Struthio camelus: one gene and its partner. The protein of the gene in region 1 interacts with the protein of each later gene in a biochemical or structural test. Links are inferred from orthologs where the notes say so. Each region holds a gene or a part of one and is shown on either strand. Other genes may lie near its edges.

Region 1 (11,860 bases):
CAACTGAAGCTTTCTTCAAACAGTTGAAAAATACCTGACCTGGGCCTTCTGGAGAAAGGATGTAAACCTCCCATTGACTCCTTATCCAGTGTCAACACTCAGCTGCATTCACCAATCACCACCCTTAACTCAATCAGCTAAAATTACTTTTCTGAAGAGGGAGCAGCGGATCTCCCCAGGGCTCCCTACGACAAGACTAAGGCCGGGATGTGAGGGGGTCACACGGAACAGAGCCGAAATCCCCTCTTCCACGTTACTGCTCAGCCAAACGCCTGCTCCTTAACACCACCCCAGACCTACCCTCCTGCTAACCGAGGCTTGGCTACGAGATGCAGCAGGCCTCAGATACGTCACCGGCGAATCTGGCACGGCTTGCTTCTGGAGACAGGATGCTGGCTGTGAAGTGCTGCTTGAGTCGGCTTCCTATGTTGGCATCTAGCAGCCCTTCCGACTTCTTACCAGGTCAGAAACAAGAAGCCGAGAATAAAGATTAAACTAGTGCAAAAGGGTGGTTATCAGCAAAAAAAAAAAAAAAAGCAAAAAAAAAAAATCCACCTCCTGTTTCTACCCAGCTGTCAGCAGCCTCCCCAGCCCCACAAAGGAAGGAATCTTTCAGAAGTTCACAGGAAGCTTCCTCAGAAGGAAACACCATTAACTGAAGTGGAAGGCCTCCTCGCATCCCCTTGCAAAGCTTGAGCTCAAGTGCAGTGACAGCCACCACAGCGGGACTTCCGGTAGGAGGAAATCAGAGCAGGTAGAAAGATCAAAAAAGCTCAAAAATCCAGCTGTTTCTTCTGGGTTGTTTATTCATCTTCAACTTGGAGAAACATGGACACTGAGCACATCACCAACAGGTCTTCTCTACCACCTGCATCGCACTGCTACTGTAAACTTCCCAACGGAGGGTTACACCTTACAGGCTGTTTACAGGAAGTTTTCCCGTTTCTATCACATTTTGTGTACTAAAAATACCACGCACTAGTCAAAGAGCAACAATTAGTTTCAGAGACCGCCTTGGTTAAGTACTGCTCCCTTCCTAACGCTAAGGGCACGTCAGTCTGTGTTTATGCATTTATACAGACATACATTTAAAAGCGGCCCCTTCGGCTTCATGAAAAAACCTCTCGTGGATAAAACGAAGCTTGTCCCGAAGCGGTCAAAGCGCCCTGTTTGCAGCGTGCGGAAGCCTGCTGTATTTAGCTTGCTATCTAGAGCAAGTTTCATGCAGCACGGCTGGTTTATTTTGACAGTTGCAATAGCCTCAAGGACAAGACTAGCCCAGCAAACGAAACCAGTCAACATCCAGCCGTACATCCATGAGAAACACTCGATGCGTTCCCCCATCAGGCGCGGAGTAAAAGCTGTCGAGCCGTCACCCAGCTGCGAGGGTGAGATGCGGGACCGCGCGTGGCCGGCACCCCAACGGGGTCAAGTGCTGCGCGCAGATAAGCAGATGGTCCCTGCTCTCAACCATTTGCAATCTTACCAACAGGTTTGCCAATTCAGGCCTATTAATCCTTCTTCGTGCTGAATTTTTGCGCACAGCTGTTATAATAGAGTGTGTAACTATAATCTGTATTCCTCGTTATTTTATTCCCAAACACTTCAGTAGGTGCGTATAGAGAACAGTGCTAGAAAAGAGCGAGAGAAGCAGATGCTAACACGCGGGTATTATCACCACACAATGACGACGACCGAGCTGATTGTTCAAGACTGCTGAAAACGCAGGGACACCAAGCAAAGGCAGAATTTACTGCATACGTAGTTACCTGATTATTAACCCAAGTGCATCAAGGCAGAACAAAGTTAGTGCCGTGAGACATAAGTGAAATATTCCAGGTTACAGAGAAAATCACACAGATCAAGTCCCACGGAAAGCCTTCCCGTTCAGACCCTTTTTGAAAAGGGAGTCTGTGGAGTGCGGTTAACCCCTTAGTGAAAGCCTTCTGACAAAGACTTAAATGCTCTGAAACAAAGGTTTTTAATTACTAGGCTGGTTTTCCAGCAGCACCATAATTAGAGGCTGCCAAAACTTCCACTGGCAGCTATTTATGAGGGGTAACAACTTGACCGTTTCAACCCCAACTGCAAAGAGACTTGGCAGAACTCATCGGCCCAGATGCAAGTTTAGTCTGGCAAAGTTAGACCTGCCCTGGTCCAGCTGACTCCTCCTCTCCCTCCCACACGAACAACAACGGGCTCAAAAGGCATCCTCAATTGCTTTGCAGGCTGCAAATCCATGCTATGAATTAAACCCCTGTGAGTATAAAAGAAAAGGCAAATTGTGTCAGGTGATGCATCACAGAGCAGGCTCCGGATCCTGACCTCACCTCTAGGAAAATGTTAAGTAAGCCGAAATTTGAACTGCGGAAAGCACAACAGTGGAGAAAACTCACGCAGGCCTTTCAAAAGATCCCTTCTCTACCGATAAAGGAAGCCACAGCGACCACGAAGCCAACAAATCTAAAGCGCTGGAAAAGACACTTGGTCGGCTGTGTGGAAATAGGACGGTATCCCGTTACGTCAGACCCGACGGCAGAGCAGGGCCGAGTCGCTGTTGTGTTGTCAACGGAGAAGCAGATCCGTGCACGCTCCTGCCGGCCAGTGTCAGGATGAAATGACATCACCGGAAATCTGCTATTGTTGCTATTACGGCATCCGCCCCAGCCTCGACTGGAGCCCCGTTGTGCAATGAATTTTTTAGGCACGGCGAGAAGCAGCCCGCGCTACAGCGAGCTTGCAAGCCTAGATCAAGCCAAAGCGGAGCACAGGAACAAAGCAGAAGGGGTCAAGCAACATCCTTTACCCCGAGCGTGGAACAAGTGCACGCAGGAACGGAGCAGCATTGAGTGCCGCCAGCTCTCAGCCCTGCGCTGCGCTATGAATTGCAGGACCGGCGCCGCCATCCCCAGAACGGCAGAGACAAAAGGTGGAGAAGGCCGAAGGACTGACTTCTACCCTCCGCTCTCAGCGCTTCGATTCAGAAGCGGAAGTTGTTAGCAGCTACCACGGATTTTGAAAGAGTCAGCAGGGTCATATGAAGCACACGGAAAGATTTTTAAACCCCACAGCCTTAGCGCAATATAAAATCAGGAGCGTTCGGCTCCCCCACGTTATCTCGACAGCCACGCTCTCCTCCCCACCCTAGCGCATCCCAGGCCGCGTGTCAATCCCTTATCCTGCCAATTCCGACCGGCTCTACAGCAGGGTCCTGACACCCCTCCGCTCCTGGGAGAGGCCTGGCAGAGAGCTCAGCCCTATCACAAGGGCACACAGCTGAACGGCACCAAACACGAAAGCCGCCCAAACCCAGGTGCAGCGATGACTCCAGGCCTAAGGCTATCAGAGTGGAAACAGAAGCGTCTTTAGGATGCAACTCAGCATTAACCTTTGTAAGTTAACACAGTCATGTTGAAAATTATAAACCGGAGCAAGACCATGCTCTAACGCTGTCAGGTCTCTTGTCAAGCATCGCAACGGGATGCCGTGCCGGTTGTTTCTGATCAAGCCTGGGCTTCCCCTGTCTCCGCTTTACACATTTGCACTCCGCAGGTCAGCCCAGCGTTTCTGGAGCGCCTTCCGGGCACCCGCGCAGGAACTCAAGGATGCTGACGGCCGTCAGGACGAGCCGGCGAGGCCCTGGCACCGCTCGGCGGGAAGGCTGCGGCGGCCGCGCTCGCGGCATCCCGCGCTGCTGAGCTCCGGGGACGGGCTGCCCCAGGCCTCAGGGAGGCGGACGGGGTTGGGGGGGGGGGGGGGGGGACGCACGGCTACTGAGTCAGCAGGGGCTGGTGAGGGTCCCGGGGGCCTAGGCAGGGCCCTGTGGGGGGGGCACCAGGCAGGGCCTAGTGGGGAGTCCTGGGCCTAGTGGGGGGGGGGTCCAGGTAGGGCCTGTTGTGTGTGTTTTGGGGGGGTCCTGGTCCCCGGGCGGGGCCCAGCGCAGCCCCTCCACACCCCTGCACCTCCCCCCGGTGTTACCGCGCATCCCCAGCCCGGGGACCCCGCTCCGCTCTGCTCCCGGGCCCGGGCCGGGCCGCACCGGGCAGGCGACGGCGACAGAGGCCCGGGACTGGCGGAGCCCCCCGCTATTCACAGAGCTCCCCTGCGCCAGCGCCGCGCGCGCCCGCCACGGCCCGAGCCCCCGCCTGCGCCGCTGGCGTAAGGGCCGGCCTGTGACCCGCTCCCCTGGGCCGCGCCTTACGCCAAGTGCGTAGCACAGGGCCGGGCTGCCGGGATGATCCGCAGTTTGCGTAGCGGTGGCCGGGCACGGGGCGGGGGGGGGAGGGGGGGCTGCTACGGCGGCGCTCGCGCCCCCGCCCGCCTCGAGCCGCCTTACGCAGGCGGGATTCACCAAGCGCGCTTACGCCAGCTGCGCCGCGCGGCGGCGGCGGGCGGGCGGGCGGCTACGCAGTTTGCGTACGCGGCGCCCGCCCCTCCCCGGCGCGGCGCGGCGGGACTCACCGGCCCACGAAGTTCTCGAGCACGGAGCTCTTGCCCGCGCTCTGCCCGCCCACCACGGCGATCTGCGGCAGGTCGAGGTGGCAGCTCTGCCCGATGGAGCTGAACGCGTCCTGCAGCTTGTTCACCAGCGGGATCAGCTCCTCCATGCCCCGGTTCCCCATGGCGGCGCGGAGGGCCCCGCTCTCCCGGCGGCGGCGGCGGCTCCTCCTTACACAGTCCGCGGCGGCGGCGGCGACCAAACTTCCCCTCCGAGTCTCCTCATCCGGCACTGGCGACACCCCCGGAGGCGCCGCTCAGCCGGGCCCGCCCCGCGCCCCTCAGCCGGCGCCGCCATTGGGAGCCTGAGCCGTCAGTCAGAGCAGCCGGCCGAGCGGAGCGGAGCTCTTCGCTGTCACTCAAGAGGGAAGGCGGGAGCGGGTCGCCACGCCCCACCTCTCCCTTTTCATTGGTTTCCCAACGCGTCGCTCGTTCCTACCAGCCAATGGGAGGTGGAGCTGGCCTGTCAGCTGAGACGGCACAGCGGCAGCTCCCGCCCCAAGACTTTGTTCCTGCCATTCTATTGGTAGAGAGGACTGCCACTCCGGGAAGCTAGCGAATCGCTTCCCGAAGGAAACTAGCTTGTTCACCCCTCCCATACGCCCTTGTCATTGGACAGCTCCTCTGCCAGTCTACCAGACTGACCAACCCAGGGCGGGTACTCCCTGACGAAAAGCCGCTCATGATTCGCCAGCCAGCCGTCAATCACGAGCCCCATTGATGCTCTGCCGCTTTCTCCCTTCCCGGGCACAGCCCAATGACGTTTGGAGATCCCCTACCGTACGTCCCCGTGTAGAAGCCCATGTCTTGCTACCGCATGTCTCCGAGGCGAGGGCCGGAGGCTGCACTGGGGCCAGGGGAACCCCCCTCCCCTGGGGACCGTCACCCCCCAGCGCAGCCACCTCGGGCCACGCTCAGAGTCCTCTCTGGCACCAACACACCAGCCTGGGGTCACATTCAGAGTCTTTATTTTGCACCATCCTCCCATCACAGCCCCGCCACGGCACCTCCTTACCAGCACCCGCTGGGGACAGCTGGCCCGAGGGCTCGGACGCCCCTCACTCCCTGCCACCTTCCTTCCCCGCAGCATCCTCCGCCGTGGCGGGAGGTCCGCGGGAGGCCTGCGCTGCCAGGGAGGAGCGGGGACGGGCCCGCGGGCTGCCACGGCTCCGGGGGCACGGCGAGGCAGGGGCCTGCATGCCCGTCACCAGGTCGCTGAGCCCTGCGGGGAACTGGCCGGCGCAGAGCAGGTCCGAGCTTCTCCTGGAAAAGAAGGATGGGCTGAGCACCCCTCGCCTGCCCCACCGCGAACGGGGCATCGGGCATAGGTTACGACGAGTCCCAGTGCCAGGAGGCTCCAAGCCCTCGCAGGAGGCAGCGCGGCAGACGGCGGCGCAGTTGGCCGAGGTGGCCCCCGGCACGAGCCGGCGGGGAGCACCGGCGCTCTCCGTCCTGGCGCCATGTACCTGAGGTCCGCGGGGCTCTGGGGGCCGCTCCCCGGGGCGAGGGGGAAGGTGGGCAGCGAGCGGCGCTGGCGCCAGAGGTAGCCCGCGGGCAGGTCCTGGGGCAGGTCAGCATCCAGGCGCTCCAGGGGCAGGGCCATCTCTGCGGCAGGGAGGGCAAAGGCACCGTGAGCCTCCACCCCACTGCGTCTTGCTGTGCGTCTTGATGCTCATGTCAGACTTGGGGAGCAGAAAAACCCCTTTCCACACTGCAAATGCCTTTGGGCATCCCCAGGGCAGCAGCTGAGCCCCAGCACCTGGATTTCAGGATGCCAGGACCAGCAATAGAGGCCTCCGAAATCCAGGTGGGACCAGAACACCCTGAGAAAGCTGAGTCCAGCGGGCCGGCACCTCCTCCAGGCTGGATTGGGAGGGCTATCTGCCCCTGTTACCTTCCCCAGCACAGACCAGCAGGGATTCAGTGAGAACCAGCTGGACACTAGCAGGGTGTATCCCTCTTTCTAAGGGCAATCCTCCCTCCTCCAAGCACCTCGCGGCCCTACCGCTCCGGATCCGGCTCAGCTCCGGTCCCAGCAGCTTCCCATCCATGCTCAGCAGGATGTACTTCTCCACGCGGAGCTCCGGGCTCAGCTGGTCCACCGTCCGCCGGTTCGGCCGCTCCCGCGCCTCGGTCCGCGCGTCGTGCACCGTGTTCATCTTCCAGCTGCGGAAGGGAAGGACAAGACAGGGTCTGTCACGTTGCTGGTCACTTCAGCGCTGGGCTCGGCCGGAGCCATCCCAGCCAGCCCGCGAGGAGGTCTGCGCGGCGTCGGACAGGGATGCAGCCCCATTCCTGGGGGTGAGGGGCTGCCATCCTGGCTACCCAGCTCTACAGCCCGGTCGCAGCCGCATCCCAGGCCGTGGGCGCTCTTCCGAAGCCAGCAAGGCTGCACCCGTTGCAGATGCTGGCTCTCCACCATGTCAGGTGGGCCAGGGAGGGATGCTGCAAATTTTGGACACATCTTGGCTATATATCCTAGCCATAAGGAATTGGGGGGGGGGGGGGGGGGAAACAGGGATGCCCAGAGAACCATTCCTCCTCCAGCTCCATTTCGTACACCACAGGCTGCAAGCTGGACTCATCCCCAAACCACGAGGCCTTTGTCCCAGGGCTGCGAACGGCACCATATGCCCTGGTGCCAGCCCGGCTGCACCCACAAGGCTCTCCTCTCGCTGGAGAGATCAGGCAGCCTCGCTGAAACTGCACCATCATCCCTCTGCGGAGAAATAAGAGCCGTTCGGACTCAACGCCGTGTCGTTTACGGCCCCCAGAGCCCCCATCCAGCCAGGGGAGCTGCGGCCTCCTCCAGGCAGCAGCCCCCCGTCCCAGCCATTTACAGCAGCGGCGGGATCAATCCTCGGTCCGGTTTCGCCCCCGGCAGAGCCGCCACCCGCGCGTCCCGGGGGCTCTGGCAGGCTGCCCGTCGCTCGCTAGCCAAGGTCAGACCCGAGGGTGCCCGGCGAGCTGGCCGGCGCTGCCCTGCTCCCTCCCGCGGGGCAGGGCCCCTCTCCGGCCACGCGCGTGGAGCCGGATGGCTGCGGCGGGCCGGAGGCAGGGGAGATCCGTTTCCCCGCTCACCTGAGGGAGCCCGTTTGCGCTCCACGGAAGCGGGTTATTCGAACCCGCTCGCGTTACCATAATCTGGGCTCAGCCATTTCGCTTGGACACAAGAGAGCTGCCCCACCGGAGCAAGGAACACTCTGTTCCTAGAGGAGGAGAGGAAAGAAGAGGCAACGAAGCAGAGGAGACAGGTTGGATTTGTTGGCACCGCTTTCTGCAGATGCACCAAGCCACAAGCACAGCTTTCAGTCCCCAGCGATGAGGAGGGAGGGGCAGCACGGGAGGCTGCAGACGGAGATGCCAGCAGCTGCTCACTATTTCCCCTTCCTCTCCTTCTCTCTGGGAAAAACTAATTAAATCCCTTGCTGCATTAAGCAAGCCTGTTACCAGATTTCCAGCGGCAGATTTCTGAGAAAACCCTTGCCTTATTTCTGGAGGAAGAGCAGATGGAGGGGCACACGGATCAGCTGCGAGCAGGCCAGACCGCTTCAGGCTCTGCTCGCAGAGGTGACACAGCTCTGGGAGAGACTTGTTCTGCAAGAGCCCAGAGGAGGGAAAGCTGGAGCTCGATCCAAGCCAGGCTGTCGCACGGCTCAATTTCTCTAAGCGCTCATCCTTCATCCAGCTAGTTAACGCTGGAAACAAGCTCATCGCACAGTTGTGCGGTTCCCCCCCGCCCCAGGAGGGCCGGGATGAGCTGCCGGCTGCTCCGACACGTGCATCGGCAGGACATCCGTGCCCCCGCCAGCCCACCCCGGGCAAAGAGGGGCTCCAGGGCAGGGCTGCCGGCAGCGTGCCCGCAGCAGGGCCGGGCTCTCCGTCCGCGGCTGCAGCATCCCTCGGCCCGCCCCAGCCGGAGCGCCCCGCAGAAGCGGGCTCGGGCGCAGCCGCGCTGGGCACGGCGCATCCACGCAGCTGAGGCCGAATTGGGCCGCAGAGCGCAGGCACGGGGCCGCTTTCGCGGAGACGCGCGGGAATCAGCCGGGCGGCTCTCGGCCGGGGCTCACCCGGCACCGCCGGGAAAGGTGCGGGACGCCTCGGCACGGTGCGCGCCGGGTCTGCGCCTGGCCCCGGCCAGAGTCCCCACCGGCACCCTGCTAACTAGGGAGGAGGAAGGTTTTTTGGGTCATTTCTGAAGGCTTTTTCCATTTAGCATTTTAAATGCAAAACTCTTATTTGTAACAGGATACTGCTGCTATATAGGACCACCCCACAAGCAAGACTAACAGCTGTTGAAGTTGGAGCACAAGGGAAAAGCTTCCTCTGAGCCCCTTGGATGTCACCTCTCTGCGTTTTCAGGCACATACCTCCTTGCTTTAGGGAGAAAGCCCCCATTCCCCCTTACCACCAGGTGTTTAATGGAGGTCCCGCACCTCCAAAGGAGGTCTGACATGGGTAGGCAGAGCCCCCTGCGACAGCCCAGCCTCGACAAGCTTTCCACCAGGCTCCCCTTAAATAAACTACGGCAGTTTTGGGAGCTGGCGCCCCAGCCCCTTGCTGAACCAGTACCCTTCCCAAGGGACGTTACTTACTTCAGACCGACCGGGTCCCACGCACCAATCCAGGACGCGCTCCTCTTTCACACTAAAAGCTATTTAGGGGGGAAATGATGTTCTGCCAATCTAAAGAAACAGGAACAGTGATTTATACCAAAACAGGGACCATTCCCACAGCTCAGGCTCCCCACATGCTCCCTCATAGCTGTTCCCCAGCAGCTAATCCTCCTTTTATACCCACGCTACCCTCAGACGACCTGATGGGGGGCACCTGGCCCTTACCTGGCCTTAATATCCCCCCCCTTCAGGACCCGGCTCAAGTGCCTGGCTGCTGATGCATAACTCTCTAAGCTAGTACCTGCTCCGAGTGTTTGGGGCTAGGTAGCCCTCCAGGCAAGGTTATTTCAAGGTTATGGTGAGAAATCCTGGGTGCGCTCGGAGGAAGGGCAGAGCTCCTCTTACATTGCATGAGGGGAAACTGAGGCCGGGCAAGGCACCGGCTTCCCCCCGCGAGGCCGCCCCGCTCTCGCTGGCACCAGCGATGGGGGACGGCCAAGGGCGAGCGCCTCGGTCAGGCCCTGGGGAGCTGCGGCCGAGGCCAGGGCCGCAGCGAAAGCCGGTCTGGGCCGCGGGCGGCGAGGGGGGCAGGCGGGTCTCTGCAGCCGGGGAGACCCCAAACACGCGGGGACCGGCTCTGCCGGGGACGCCCCGCTCCGGGGTTGCCGCTGCCACGCGGGTGCCGGGATGGGGGTTGTCCCAGCGCTTCTGGGGTGGGGGGCGCGGAGGCAAAACCGGGGGAGGAGGGAAGGTTACCCACGGGGATGTGGAGAGGCTGGGAGTGGGGGGGCAGAGGAGGGGGTCTCCCGGGGGATATGGGGCTGGGCAGGGGGGTGAGGAAGGGGATCTCCATGGGGGATATGGGGCTGGGCAGGGGAGCAGAGGACAGGGATCTCCATGGGGGCCACGGGGTGTCCCCTCGCAGGATATGGGGGATCGTGGCAGGGGGGTGAGGAGGGGGCTCTCCCCTGGGGGATATGGGGGATCGTGGCAGGGGGGTGAGGAGGGGGCTCTCCCCTGGGGGATATGGGGGATCGTGGCAGGGGGGTGAGGAGGGGGCTCTCCATGGGGGATATGGGGGATCGTGGCAGGGGGGTGAGGAAGGGGCTCTCCCCTGGGGGATATGGGGGATCGTGGCAGGGGGGTGAGGAGGGGGCTCTCCCCTGGGGGATATGGGGGATCGTGGCAGGGGGGTGAGGAGGGGGCTCTCCATGGGGGATATGGGGGATCGTGGCAGGGGGGTGAGGAAGGGGCTCTCCCCTGGGGGATATGGGGGATCGTGGCAGGGGGGTGAGGAGGGGGCTCTCCCCTGGGGGATATGGGGGATCGTGGCAGGGGGGTGAGGAGGGGGCTCTCCCCTGGGGGATATGGGGGATCGTGGCAGGGGGGTGAGGAGGAGGCTCTCCCTGGGTGACACGGGGGGGGTCCCCTCAGGGGATATGGGGGATCGTGGCAGGGGGATGAGGAGGGGACTCTCCCTCAGTGACACGGGGGGGGGTCCCCTCACGGGATAGGGGAGATTATAGCAGGGGGAAGAGGAGGGAGCTCTCCACAAGGGATGTAGGAGAACAAAGCAGGGCGATGAGAAAGCACATCGCTCCCCCCTCCCCCCGGCCATGAAGGCCTAGGGCCGAGGCTGAAGCCTCAACATGGCGGCCGCGTTGCCCCTGGCGACGGCCGCTTCCGGCGGGGCGGCCGGAAGCGGGGGTCACGTGGCGCGGCCGAAGATGGCGGCGGCGGGAGCGGGGCCGCTGCTGCGGGTGGCGGCCGAGTGCGGGCGGAGCCGGGCGCGGGCCGGGGAGCTGCGGCTGCCGCACGGCGCCGTGCCCTGCCCCGTCTTCATGCCCGTGGCCACGCGCGGCACCGCCAAGGGCCTGACGGCGGCGCAGCTGGCGGCGCTGGGCTGCCGCGTCTGCCTCGGCAACACCTACCACCTGGGCACGCGGCCGGTGAGCGCCCCGCCCCCTCGGCCCGGAGCCCCGCCCACACCCCCAGCCCCGCCCACACAGCCCCGTAACCCCGCCCACAGCGCTGAACCCGGCCCCACCCACGCGGCTCCGAAGCCCCGCCCACAGCCCTGGCCCGGCCCACGCAGCCCCGGAGCCCCGCCCACAGAGCCCCTAAGCCCCGCCCCACAGCGCCGGAGCCCCGCCCACAGCCCTGGACCTGGCCCCACGCACGCAGCCCCTAAGCCCCGCCCACATCCCCACCCCCACAGCTCATGACCCCACCCACAGCCCTGGCCCGCCCCACACAGCCCCTTGCCCTGGGGAGCCCCCGCCCCAGCCCCCACCCCCACAGCCCCAGAGCTCCGCCCACACAGCCCTGGAGCCCCGCCCACAGCCTGCCCCACCCCCACAGCCCCGGGAGCCCCGCCCACACAGCCCTGGAGCCCCGCCCACAGCCTGTCCCACCCCCACAGCCCCGGGAGCCCCGCCCACAGCCTGCCCCACCCCCACAGCCCCGGGAGCCCCGCCCACACAGCCCCGGGAGCCCCGCCCACAGCCTGCCCCACCCCCACAGCCCCGGGAGCCCCACCCACAGCTCACCCTCACCCTCACAGCCCCGATCCCGGGGAGCTCCGCCCACAGCCCCGCCCTCACTCACAGCCCCGCCCACACCACCCCAGGAACCCCGCCCACAACCCTGCCCACACAGCCCTGCCCCAGGGAGCTCCACCCACACAGCCCAGGGAGCCCCGCCCACAAAGACCCCACCCAAGAAGCCCCACCTACACAGCTCTGGGA
Region 2 (11,915 bases), on another chromosome or scaffold:
ATATCCCCATGTATTCAAAATACTTGCAAAGCTAGACCTTCTTTTAAGAACACGGTATTCATTCTAAGAACTTTCACCTCAAAGGACTTCCTCCCACAAAAAAGGGCCCAGTCCTATAAACAGAATCAAACAAGTGAGTTCTTAAAATAGACAGGGCATTAAACAATACAGAACATAACACTGAGGTACAGGTGCCCAAGGTTACAGAGGGACAAAAAGCCTCAATAATCTTACCAACAGGGGTCTAACCTCATGGAATTCATCAACACTTATCTTCAACCTGTGAAAGTAGTGTCACTAACTTCAGCACTACTACTCCTATAAATCAGAGTTTGAAGGATCAGTTTCTAATCCCAACTTCAACTTTTAAATTAACACCTTCACTGTACACTAGCAGCACAGGTTCCAGAAGACCAGTCTTGACCATCAGCATGCACTTCACCTTCTGGCTTTGCTTGTTATCTCTTCTGAAATTTTGACTTCAAAGTGCAAAACATCAGGCTTATTCAGAAAAAGAATTGCTTATATTACTAAATAATAAATGCCTCTAAAAATAGCCTGAGGTAGAGAGCACATTATTTCAAAGTCAGCATATCACTTCCTGACATTTCTAGCTCTCCCTATTCAACAAAACTCAAACAAAAGAATCTGCTACAGTTTGCGAAGTCCCAAGTTCATGCAAGGAAAGAAGAGCAAGGAAAGGCTAAAGTCATCAAGAAGTAGGAGGAAAAAAAAAGTATTAAGAACGTGAATCTGATCTGTGTTTGGAAATTTTAAACATCATTATATACTTTTACACTTGGGCACTTTTTGCCTTCTTTTTATGCACAGTTTAAAATAAGGAATCAGTGTGCTAAAGTCAATGTGTCTGAAGGAAGCATCCAAAATAAAGTATCCAGCTTGATGCATCTGTCCTTAAACAGGGATTGGCAATTGCCTACCTGTAAAGTAAGACTCAGTAAAGTTACCACTCCTCAAAACACTGGAAGCTGGGATCTCCTAAACAATCCAATGATTTTTTTTTTTAAAAAACATGGCTCAATTTTTGATGCATGTGACTTTGAGTAAGCCTCTAAGGAAACAGAAAGGCCACAGCCAAGTTACAGTAAAGATACACAAGCAGCCAGCCAAAGAACTGCCACCAAAAGGCTTGGATTCTCCTTTTCCCATTTTCCCCTTATATTTCCACCTTCCACCACGAAGGCTCTTCTCCCCTGCCAGAGATTTAGTGTTGGCTCTGAGCAAAGTGTCAGCCACTTTTCCTCTCTAAAACAGGAGGAAACTGTCTCACCATTTTCACCTAGGATGTTTTCCTTTTCCCCCTCCCCCTCTCTTTTTTGTGCACGCTATTTTAGCAAGCTACAGTAGCTCGGAGACAGGCCTGACAAGCACTGGAGTCAACTCCCAGTAAGTTCAGAGAGTCCAGGACTAGGAGCAAGGCAGAAGGAGTGGTGGCAAGGAGCAGCTCATATCAGACAGAGCCACAGCCTTCACAGGATTTAGCCCTGCAATCATCCCTGCCTCATTTCAGAAGACTGCTTCCTTTGCAGTTAAACAAATATCTAGGAAAGCATTAGCAAAGGCCTTCTTTGATAGAAATAGCAGTCTTATCCTCTAAAAACTTTGCATTATTGCAATAGAAAATCACATTAGCTTAAATGGTATAGGGAAGGGCCAGGAGATCACAGTCTTAAGACTGTTACCATGTCTTCACACTGCAAAACTCAAGGAGTTGAGTTGGTGCAGTTTATCAGAGTGGGAGCTAGAAAGCAAACTGATCAGAGCTTACAAACGCGCTATGGAAGAAATGCCAGTCTTTTCCCTCTCACCCCAGCAAAACTCTAACAATTGGACAGAAGTGTTTTTATAGCTAGTAGAAAAGAGGATAATAAAACTGGAAACAGAAGCTAGGCAAGTTCAGTTTCAAAGTAAAACAAGTGTCAACAGCAAAAGAGTTGATGGTTTAATTAAAAAAAGAAGAAACAGGCTGGATTTTCAATTACTGAAACAGTGCAAATCTAGATTGAACCCCTCCTCACCTCTGGAAATATATTCTAGGTAAAACATGAATTAATTCAAGAAATACTAATAGCCTGCACAGTACAGGCAGACCTGATTGCCAGATATCTCTGCCAGGTGTGTAGGTTCAAATGCCACTGAAGTTTGAGAAATTCACAGTCCAAGAGACTAATCATAGTTTAGCCTTGTTAATGTTCTATGTGCAACTCCAACATACTGTGTATTTCTTATAGAACTAAACTATTTTGGAAGGAGAGGAAGTAGAAGGTGGGAAGTTTGTTTACAATTAAAAAAAAATAAATCTTATTTTTCGAGTGAAATAGTAACTGGTTAGTTGGCCGAGTTCCTAAACACTGTTTATTGTCAGTCACTCCCTTGCACTGTTGAGGGGAGGAAAAATTTTTTTTTTTTTTTTTTTTTTTTTTTTTACAGCTGACATTATAAAAAGTTTAACCAATTAAAATCCAGAATAGGATAATTAGCAGAGAGTGACATACCTTATGGGTCAAGCTTACAGAAAATAAGGTCAGCTTCTGCTCTGTTATCAGTATATCAAAATAAAAAAGTCTTTGCTAACTATCATTTCCTTACATCAGCCTTCAAGTTAAAGTAAATTACCATAACTTGCAAAGTGTAGAATAAAAAAAAAACCCAAATACTTGCATCTTCCTCACCTAATTTCAATAAAGTACTGCTAGCAAGTCAGAACTCACATACCCATCATTCTGAGGCCACGACTCCAAAAGTTTATTTCAAGAAAAATCAAAGTGCAAGTTTCCAAATGTATGAATAAAATGACTTCATTAATTAGGCACAGAATAAGCAGTCCCGCACGTCCTCAAGATTAGATGATAAACAGTATCATATTCCAAATGCTTAGCAGATAATATGCATTACTTCTATATATGTGCATAATAGTATGCAATTGAACTTTTCTTACTACCTGCCATAGCTACATGTGTTTACATGTTATTCATACACACACCCCACAACTCTGTGGAAACAGCCAATATTAACACTGAGTCCGTTAACAATATTCTAAAACCTGAGCACACAGGAACACAGAGTTCACTATACTAATACTTCTTGAAGTGTCTAAATGATTTTGAAGCCTAAACCACTTTCTTCTGTGCTTCTAAAAAAAATGTTACTAGAGCATGAATAACCATCTGCTTCAATGGTTACTGAGACTGCTACATATATATGAGGTTCAATATATTTAAGATACGGATTTCCCAAATACTGAGAAATACAGTATGAATAAATGATGTCGTGCCCGAGAACAGTTTTTATTAAAGGAAGTTTTTTAAACTACAGGCCAAGTTTATTGAATCAGGCGAATCTGAAAGCACTACTTCAAATACCAGAAAGCTTTCTGCAATATTTAGACAACTTACAGATGACATTTGTTTGTGGATGTTAACTCACACCTACACAAAGCAGAGGCAAGCCAGTTTTACCACTTTCATCCACTAATATAGTAAATAAATATTGCTAATTTAGAAAGAGATCAGTTTCGGATAGGATGTACTAATTTTGATAGCTACATTAACAACAGACACTGTTGAAGAACAGAGCAAAACAATTTCACTTCCTGCAATTTTTTTTTTAATGGACCCTATTATTAACAAGTCGCAAACTACAGACTTGAGACTCCCACTGGGGGAAAGAAAAAAAAAAAACACCCACCCACAGCACGCCCCTGTGCCTGATGACCACCGAGCAGGTTTTTTATCAGCCGCTCGGAAACACCACTTACGGCCTCCCCTTCGGTAACCTTATTTTGTCGGGCAGGTACGCGACAACACCGCAGGGGGGGCGGGTTACACATCTCTCCCTCCGCCCCGCAGTGCGAGGCCGCCAGGGCCAGGGCCAGGCCGGCCCCGCACCTCGCCCCTTCCCAGGCCGCCGCCGGCCTCGCCGCCCCGCCGAGGGACGGGGGGCAGCGGGCGGAAACGCAGCCGAAGGCAACTTTTCCCCCTTGGCCGGAGTTGGCGCTGCCCCGGCGGCCGAGGCCCGGGCGGGGAAGCGGGACCTCCGCCAGCCCCCGCGGCGAGGGCACTGCCCCCCCACCCCACCCCCCGCTCCTTCCCTCCCTCCGGGCCCCGAAACGCGGCCGTGGCCCACACGGTGCCTCCCGCCGCCCCCACAGGGGGTCACCGCCCGCCGAGCCCCCTCCGCGGGGCCTGCTCGGCGCAGGGGGCGCCGCCGGCTGCTCACCTTGGTGGCCATGGCGCTGCCGGTGCGGTGCGATCCGGGCCCGGCCCGGCCGCCGCTCCGCTCTCTCCTCCCCTCCCCTCCCCTCCCCGCCGCGGTTGCTCGCTCGCTGTGTCCGGCCCGCCCGCCCGCTGGGCCGCGCAGGCAGCTCCTCCTCAGCGTCCCCCCCCGTCGTCGTCGTCACCGCCACCACCGTCACCGCCGCCGCCTGGGGGCCGTTGGGCGGCTCAGCAGGCAGCGCCGGCTGCTGGGCAGGCGGCGGCTAATGTATCGGCGCGGCGGTGCCCCCTCCCCGCAGCCCCCTGCCGCCCTGCCCCCGCCGCGCCCGGCTCCCGCTGGCACCGCCCGGCCGCCGCTCCTCCGCGGCCTCCTCGCCAGGGCCCGAGCCAGGCGGGGAGGGAGGAAGGGACGGACGCACCCGCGGGTAGCGGGCCCCGCAGCGTTTTCTCTTTCTAGTCAGCGTTTGCCTTCCAATTCCCGCCTCGAGTAGCGGGCCGACCCGCTCCCCCGCCCCCCGGCGCGGCGGGGGTGGCGGTTTAACGCCCGCCTGTGCGGCAGCCTGCTGCCTCAGGGCGTTGTTAGCCCCGGCGTCCGCTGTCAGATGCCGCTTCAGACGCTGAAAATCCACCCGCCTTTCGCTGTCTGGGCGGAGGAGGGTCAACAGAAAGTCGTCGTCCCTCGGTCGCTTTTGAACGCCGGTTTCAGAACAACTGTGTATCAAATAAAGAATAATTTTTCCTCGGCCAAGCTCCCTCGGCGGCTGTCGGAGATGCGCTTCATCCGCGGCCTCCTGCGGCAGCTGGGCCTTGCTGCCTGATGGTTATTAAGAGTAGAAAATAACATCAAGAAACTGCTCAGGATCCGTGCGGGTCCCATGAGACGCTCCGCCAACATGTGGCAAGAAATAGCTGTGGTCCCACTCGATTTATTCCTCCTGATGGGAGGCTAAGGGGGGGGGAAGCCAGCGGCAGCGCTCAGAGGAGGTACGTGCAGCACCGCCTGCGACTACGCTGTCTTGTGGGTATGTATCCGCGCGGTGTTTGATTTGGATCGGTGGATGTTTAACTTCTGCAAAAAGAAAGAAAGAGCGTAATTGTTAAGACCACCAAAGAGATCCCTAAAAGGCAGGTGTGCCGTTGAGACGTAGCGTAACTCTTGTATAGCCATGTTTCCTTGTCCACAGAAACGACAAACCTCTCTCCTGCTCTTGCTGTACTTTCCCACTGAGGCCACTTTATCAAAAGCGAAAAACAGATCCACACTTTTTTTTAAGTTGGAAAAAAGGTTTTGTTTTAAGTAGGATGAGTGAAATACTTTCTGTGGAGACTGAGGATGAGGAATTAACATGAATCCGGCGGTTTAGGAGCCACTACTTTTCACACGGTTGAACTGATTAATTCGAGAAGTTTTGGAACCCCATTATTTCAGTTTTTAACTTTTTCAGAATTCAGTTAAATACGTGCGACAGTTCCAATTTTTTATTCTCTGTAACAGCAATATCTGAAGTGAAACTTGCAGGTGACCCGCGAATGGCCTTCTATGATAGTGCATTTAATCTGAGGTATTCTGTTAAGGATCTGTTTTGCTGTGCGGTCCCTCCCAGACTCATATTTCATCCATTTTAGTAGCTCTTTCTGAGCAAAACTCTGTAAACCCCTGCTTTGTCTGCATATTAATGGAGCCTGTCCTTCTACTTTCTTCCTAATGAGCTTTCCAACATTGCACATTTTGAACTTGGTCACACTGGTGACCTAGTGAAGATGCTTGTTGCCCTTGGTGCAGGTTAGGTGGAGATAGTCTTTCCTCTGTGTCTATATGGCGTGGGAGAAGAGCCCTACAAAAGGCTGACTGAACAACAGGAAGAAAAGGGGAAAAGGGGCTTCAAAGCTTGGGTATAAAAGAGCCTGTTTCTTTCTAAATCCACAGGAAATAGGGGTTTATCCATAGTTGGAAAGAAATATAGCGTACTGCGGCGTTGCTAGAGCCAAAAAAGAGGGAGTTCTAGGAGAAAAAGCAAAACTTGCTAACGTCTGCTTGGATTTGTGCCTTCTTCAGAATATCGGCTTTAGGGATAGAGATCCTAGACAAAGGTACCATGTACACGTACCACAGTGTAAAGGAAGCATAGCTGCATCTGCTCTGCTTAGAAAGGAAAAAGAGCCTGGGACTGATTTTCTGCTGCTGGGGCCAATTAGCGGTATCTGCCTCATGTCCACAGTGCCTAGGGTTAGCTCCCTGTACAGCAAATTTGCCTGGCTGACAGATAGCTGGAATGGTTTAAAGCCAAGTTAGCTGGGTGGGTAACGATTAAGTGATGTGGATGTTCAGGATCTTGTGCTCGTGACCGCTCCCAGGCCCTCGCCCCTGTAAGGTGGCCAGACCTGCTGCAGAGCTGGGGTAAGAACCAGTTCTCACAGGCAGCAGGCTGCAGTGACTTTCTGCACCTAGAAACACCAGTTTGTGGTTGAAGGAATTTTGAATCTTATGAAAATGATAGAGGTGTGTGGAACCGAGGGACTCGGTGTTGTCTTCTTTAGGGATCCCCTGCTGATAGGTATAGGAAGCACCCTATATGCATTCACCTTGTTTTGATATGTGATTTATAATGCACTCGAGGCTTATTGCATAAGCTTGAGTCTGTATCATTCTTTACTTGTGGTCAGAACAACTGCCAGAAAAGCTTAAGTCTACAGCTGCCAACCAGTACGCTTTAACAGAGCACTGTGTGCCCGTCTGAGGCATGAGGAACAAAGTCATGATTTATTGGGCCTCTCTATATGCTTAAAATCTTCCATTTACAATCCTCCTCTGTGAGTTACTCCTAAAAATAAGTCTTGCTTGACACATTTGGGGGATGAAGGAAACGTTAGCATCTCTTTCAGGGAGAAATAATGTTCTGGGAAAATTATTTTGATGGGTGCTTGCCAATTCTATTTGCAATTAATTGCTGTTAGTTCTTGCATCTACAAAGATTCAGAATCTCAGTAATCACTTTGGATGCCAAAGAAACATATTTCTTCTTAGCTGCAAGCTTTATTATTGCTTAGCACTAAGAGCCAAATACCAATGAATTGCAAATGAATGTCACCTAAAATTTCCAAAATTTTCTGAATTCGTTAATTTTCTGCAACCAATTAAGGGTAGATTTTTTTTAGCACTAAACATGTAAGAAATCTCACTGACTTCAGCCGGATTGTTCACGTTCTTAAGTATTTTGGTACGCTGGAAGTAGCGTGCTGTGTACGTGGCTTACCAGCTCTCAAACACAGTTGCCTCATTATTCACTTTTTACTAAAACTCCAATGGATGCTTTAATAGTCAAAAATCTCCATCCTAGAAAAACCTCATCAACAAGAGAAGAAAAGCCCTTACTCGGTGCATCAGTTACATTTTTTTTAGTATTCTCTTTATAGGTTTCTGCTAGATACATATTTTTTCGGTTAACTTGTCTACAGTAATTTCCAGGAGCACTTGCCTCAGCAGAATTCAGTGAGAAGTGATCTGTTCCAGAGAAAGGGCTGCCTAATCACATGAAAAGCTCCTGTCAACAGCACTCTGCAAATTTTTTAGTTGAAGCTGGACTCTGGGAAAGGATTTGGAGAACATTCCCCAAATACTGTTCTCTGCTGGGCAAGGCCTGCCTGTAACCAGTGAAAGTCAGTGTTCCTACAGGTGCTGAGTTACCCAGGCTTTGTAGGGAACGATAAAGAAAAAAAGTGAGGATATTCAGATAACCTCCAAGCTGAAAAACACCTACAAAAGAACTTTTCTGCAAGGAGGTTGCAGGCTCCTAAGCTACTGTCCTTGGGCGCGTGGTGGGGTGGTGTGCCCTTGAGTGCTCCCTGCTAGCAGGCTCTGCCCTCAGCATTGCCAGCCTGGTGCAGAGGGGTGACCTCAAAAACAACCAGTGACACTGAGGAATTTACCGCGGCCACAGAGGGACCATCTGGGACGATTTCATTATGTTCAGTGAAATAAGTGGCAACAACTTCGCAAATGGAGTGGTCCGGCAAACACGTGTAATCCTAAAGTCTTTTCAGGAGACGCGCTGAGAGTGTATTGTCCTAGTTCTTTATTTTCAAAGGTATTTTATGAAATGAAAAACAGGGGGCTTCTTGTGGGTTTTTTTTTTCTGATTGAAAGGGTTGAAGGCTATTGATGTGACGTGGGATATGTGCTAAAAGTTCTGCAATAACATCAGTTCCACATTGCATGTTTTTACCTCAAGAATAGAAAAAACATAATAACAAAAGTAAATTCAGCTGTGTAGTTCAACACTGCTAATTGATCAGCAAAGGCTAACAGTGCCTAGGGAGTAATTACAAAAATAGTTTAAGCTTTTTTTACGCCAGTTTTTGATCGTCGTGGTTGCCTTAACTGCATGATACACCTCTTGTTTTAAAAAAGAGCAGAGATCTCAGATTTTCAAAGCATTTTAAACAAATTGTTTAACTTAATAAATCAACACATAACAGTAATGTGTTCCTCATTTGCAAAACGCAAAACGCGCATGTATGTACGGTTTCATCTACCTGTCCCCTCAGAGGTTCTTCTACTGTCGTGGCTGATTTCCCTGCCACTAACCAGGCAAGTCTATTTTGGAGCTGGGTTAACGCTATTTCTTTGGTGCTTCTGAGAAGTTTGCAAAGAGCAGTATACAAATATTACTTCCTCCCCTCTCACCCCACAAATTGGACAGAAAACTGTAGGTGCTATCACATGCATGAAACCTAATGTTGTTTGCACAGAGCAGCGGTGGAGCAGCTGATGAAGCATGTTTGCACATCTCTGTGTATAATAGGGCATCACTTGCAAATTCTTCATGAAAAATATATTTACTGAAACACGTTCCAAGGAAAAATGTGAATCTTTGTCTTTATTATACATTGGGAGTCTTTTGCCCCAAAAGACTTTGAATCATTTGGTATTTGCATCAAAGTACTAAAGCCTCTCATTTAGGCAGAACTTTATATGGCAGTGTAAAATCATGCTCAAGAGATGACAGACACACTCTCAAATCTGACTCTGTACCTAGTGTCATAGGACATGTGAGATCACTATCAAACTGGAAAGCCAGCCAGTCTTGAGATACCAGAGGGTGTTAAGTCCAGACTTCCCTCGTCCATGAAAACTGCTCTAGAAAAAAATTGCACCCCGAATTGCAGCCAAATAGCTCTCAGTTTTTCATTCCCAGATATTTGTCTCTGAATAAGCAATTATGAGAAAAAACTGTGCTTACAATGTGTTTGCTTTTCCCTGAAGCGCTTTGTGTCCTTAGAGCTCATGATCAAATGCCATTATTACTTAATCTGAACTCTGGCATACTGTATGCTAATTTCCCCAAGTAAGTTCCGATCTGACAGGGTTACGCTTTTGATAAATACACAGCTAATATTATTTTTCTATCGTGTGTGAAAATGATGTTCTTATTTTCTTTTGCTGGGGAAAAAAGTGCTATGAGGATAGGAGTTTGGGTTTTTTTTTTCTTTGTTGGTGATGGTTTTTTACACATTGTTGTGAAGCCAACAGTTTTAAGTCATGCTGGACTCCCGGACTTAATTTTCTCTTTAAAAACAGAAAAAAAAAAACCTGCTGACCACTGAAAACATGTGAACAAGCTACACAGAAAAAAAGTGTGGGTGTACCAGAGACAAAACATTGTTGCAGTATGCTTTTGGACGTAGCCAGTTTGGAAGAGTATTTTTTCCCTTTTTTGTGGAGCTGATTGCAGAGCTCATGTTTTGGTGCAAATTTGGTCACACTTCCAAAAGGCGATGTGGGCTTAAACACCTAGTGCAGATCCTCATCAGTGAGCTCCACAACTACAGCAGCAAAGAGTTTGCTTCCTCAAGATAAGCTATTATTTCTTCAGCTAATTTTAATAGTGTGTTGCATAATGTCTTCTTTTCTCCCTTTGTCCCTGTAAGCATAACAAATGTTTTGACCACTTCTATATTTTATTCTTTTTCTGCCTTAATAGCAGAAAAATCAGTAATAAGTATTATTTTCTTACCAGCACAAGCTTTGAAAGCAATGATATTAAAATTATGGCTTCTTCTGCAAGGAACTAAATAGACTTCCTGAAACACCGGACACTAATGTTATTCTTACTGTCCTCCCTTTTTGCAGTCCTTTTTGGCCTGACTACCCCAAAGGACTTTCATGGCCTGTACACTGATGGTTAGTTTATTATATGTGCTTGTATCTGACCTAGGATACTTGTGCATGCATATGTGTCATACACTTTAGATGTTTCGCATCTGGATTTTACAGTAACACATTATATTCATTTACATTTTGATACAATGACTGTGATGTCAATAGGTTTTAAACTTAGCTTTTCTGAAAAATGAATATAGTTTCGTAAAAAGAATATTAAAGAGTATTTCGATTTCCTGCCACTAAGTGCACTGTTTCCATGTTGCTCTTTGCTAGCTTTAGCAAAAGCGACATACCATCAGAACTACTGAGCCTTACCACTACTGACTCTGTCCGTGAGGAGTGCTGGCTGCCTGGGCCTTATTTCCAGCTTTTCCTGTCCTGTGGGAGGCCTCTGCCAGCCACAGTGCCCGGAGACCACAATCTCAAGTAGAGTAACAGAAGAGGAGCATGGTCTGTCATGTATGTCAACTAATGGCAAGTGCGCATCTATGACAAAGTCACACTAACTTTAAGGAGCTATGGGTTGCACCTAAATCGCCTTCCAACACACAGGTTACTAATGGTACTAACGGTGTAACTGTTCTTTGCAGACTTATTTGTAGTGTAGTACGATGGCTAGGAGGACAGGATACCATCCCAGAGCTTGTGGCATTACTTTACATCTGGACGGTGGTCCAGTTATTCATCCTCACGGAGTACCTGACCTGTTGAGAAGGAACTTTATAAAAGGCTGCAGAACCAAATTAAAGGTTAGAGCCCCCTTGCTCTGGTTTCTGAGACTTTACATAGGGAAGCAGAGGAACTCATTTAGTTTTTCCAGTGTGGCATCAGGCTGGAGTTTTCCAAGGGAGCCTAATGAAATTAGGAACAGGAACCTCACTGAACACGAACCTTGGTTCCTTTGCAATATATTGCCTTTACATCCAAATTAATAATAGCACATTAAGTATCAGATCAGTGTGAGGCATTCTTTGCTCTGCATTGTGATAGTGATCGTGCGAAGCAACAGACCCTATGGATACATGTTATTTGTCATGGGTGTATAGTTTTTACTGTAAGTAAAGTAACTTGGATGCTCTCCTGCCTAAAAATAAGAGTGATCATTTTACTGACCTGACAAACATGGATCTTGAATGTGTTTTATTCGTAGTTCAGTGTTTGTTTTCCAGCATTCCAGTGTGCAGCACTCGCACATTTTTTCCCATGACACAGACAGATATTTTGGAGTAATATGATTCTGCATTTTCAAACTGCTTTTGTCTTTCTAATTCTAAGATATTTATTACTCCACTACATTTTTTGGTGTTTTCATCATGGTGGTTTGGGGGATTTCAGGGACTCCAGCTGACTGTATTTCCATTCGAAAGAAATTCAGTACTGTGGTGTTTGTATGGTGATATCACCACAGAACTGAACCAGGTTTTAGTGTTCTTTACTCCTTAAATCCTGCTTTGAGACACTGCTTCCTTTAGAAATAATCATCAAAGAAATGACTTCATAGAAAGAAATTCTTGATC

Evidence for each region.
Region 2: the proteins of DNM2 (region 1) and SNX9 form a complex in vitro, tested with the Homo sapiens proteins (2 studies listed by BioGRID and IntAct, with this or other methods). The link is inferred for Struthio camelus from reciprocal best matches to the Homo sapiens genes DNM2 and SNX9.

Annotation. Positions count from the first base shown.
Region 1 is NC_090972.1:4,733,958-4,745,817, forward strand, and holds the start of DNM2 (dynamin-2), read right to left. Parts: upstream 4,767-11,860; 5' UTR 4,623-4,766; coding exon 4,462-4,622; intron 1-4,461. Other genes in the region: uncharacterized protein, read right to left, coding at 5,556-5,760, 5,964-6,102, 6,503-6,663, 7,985-8,211; QTRT1 (queuine tRNA-ribosyltransferase catalytic subunit 1), read left to right, coding at 10,841-11,062. UniProt on the Homo sapiens protein: Catalyzes the hydrolysis of GTP and utilizes this energy to mediate vesicle scission at plasma membrane during endocytosis and filament remodeling at many actin structures during organization of the actin cytoskeleton.
Region 2 is NC_090944.1:77,912,797-77,924,711, forward strand, and holds the start of SNX9 (sorting nexin-9), read right to left. Parts: upstream 4,426-11,915; 5' UTR 4,252-4,425; coding exon 4,240-4,251; intron 1-4,239. UniProt on the Homo sapiens protein: Involved in endocytosis and intracellular vesicle trafficking, both during interphase and at the end of mitosis. Required for efficient progress through mitosis and cytokinesis. Required for normal formation of the cleavage furrow at the end of mitosis.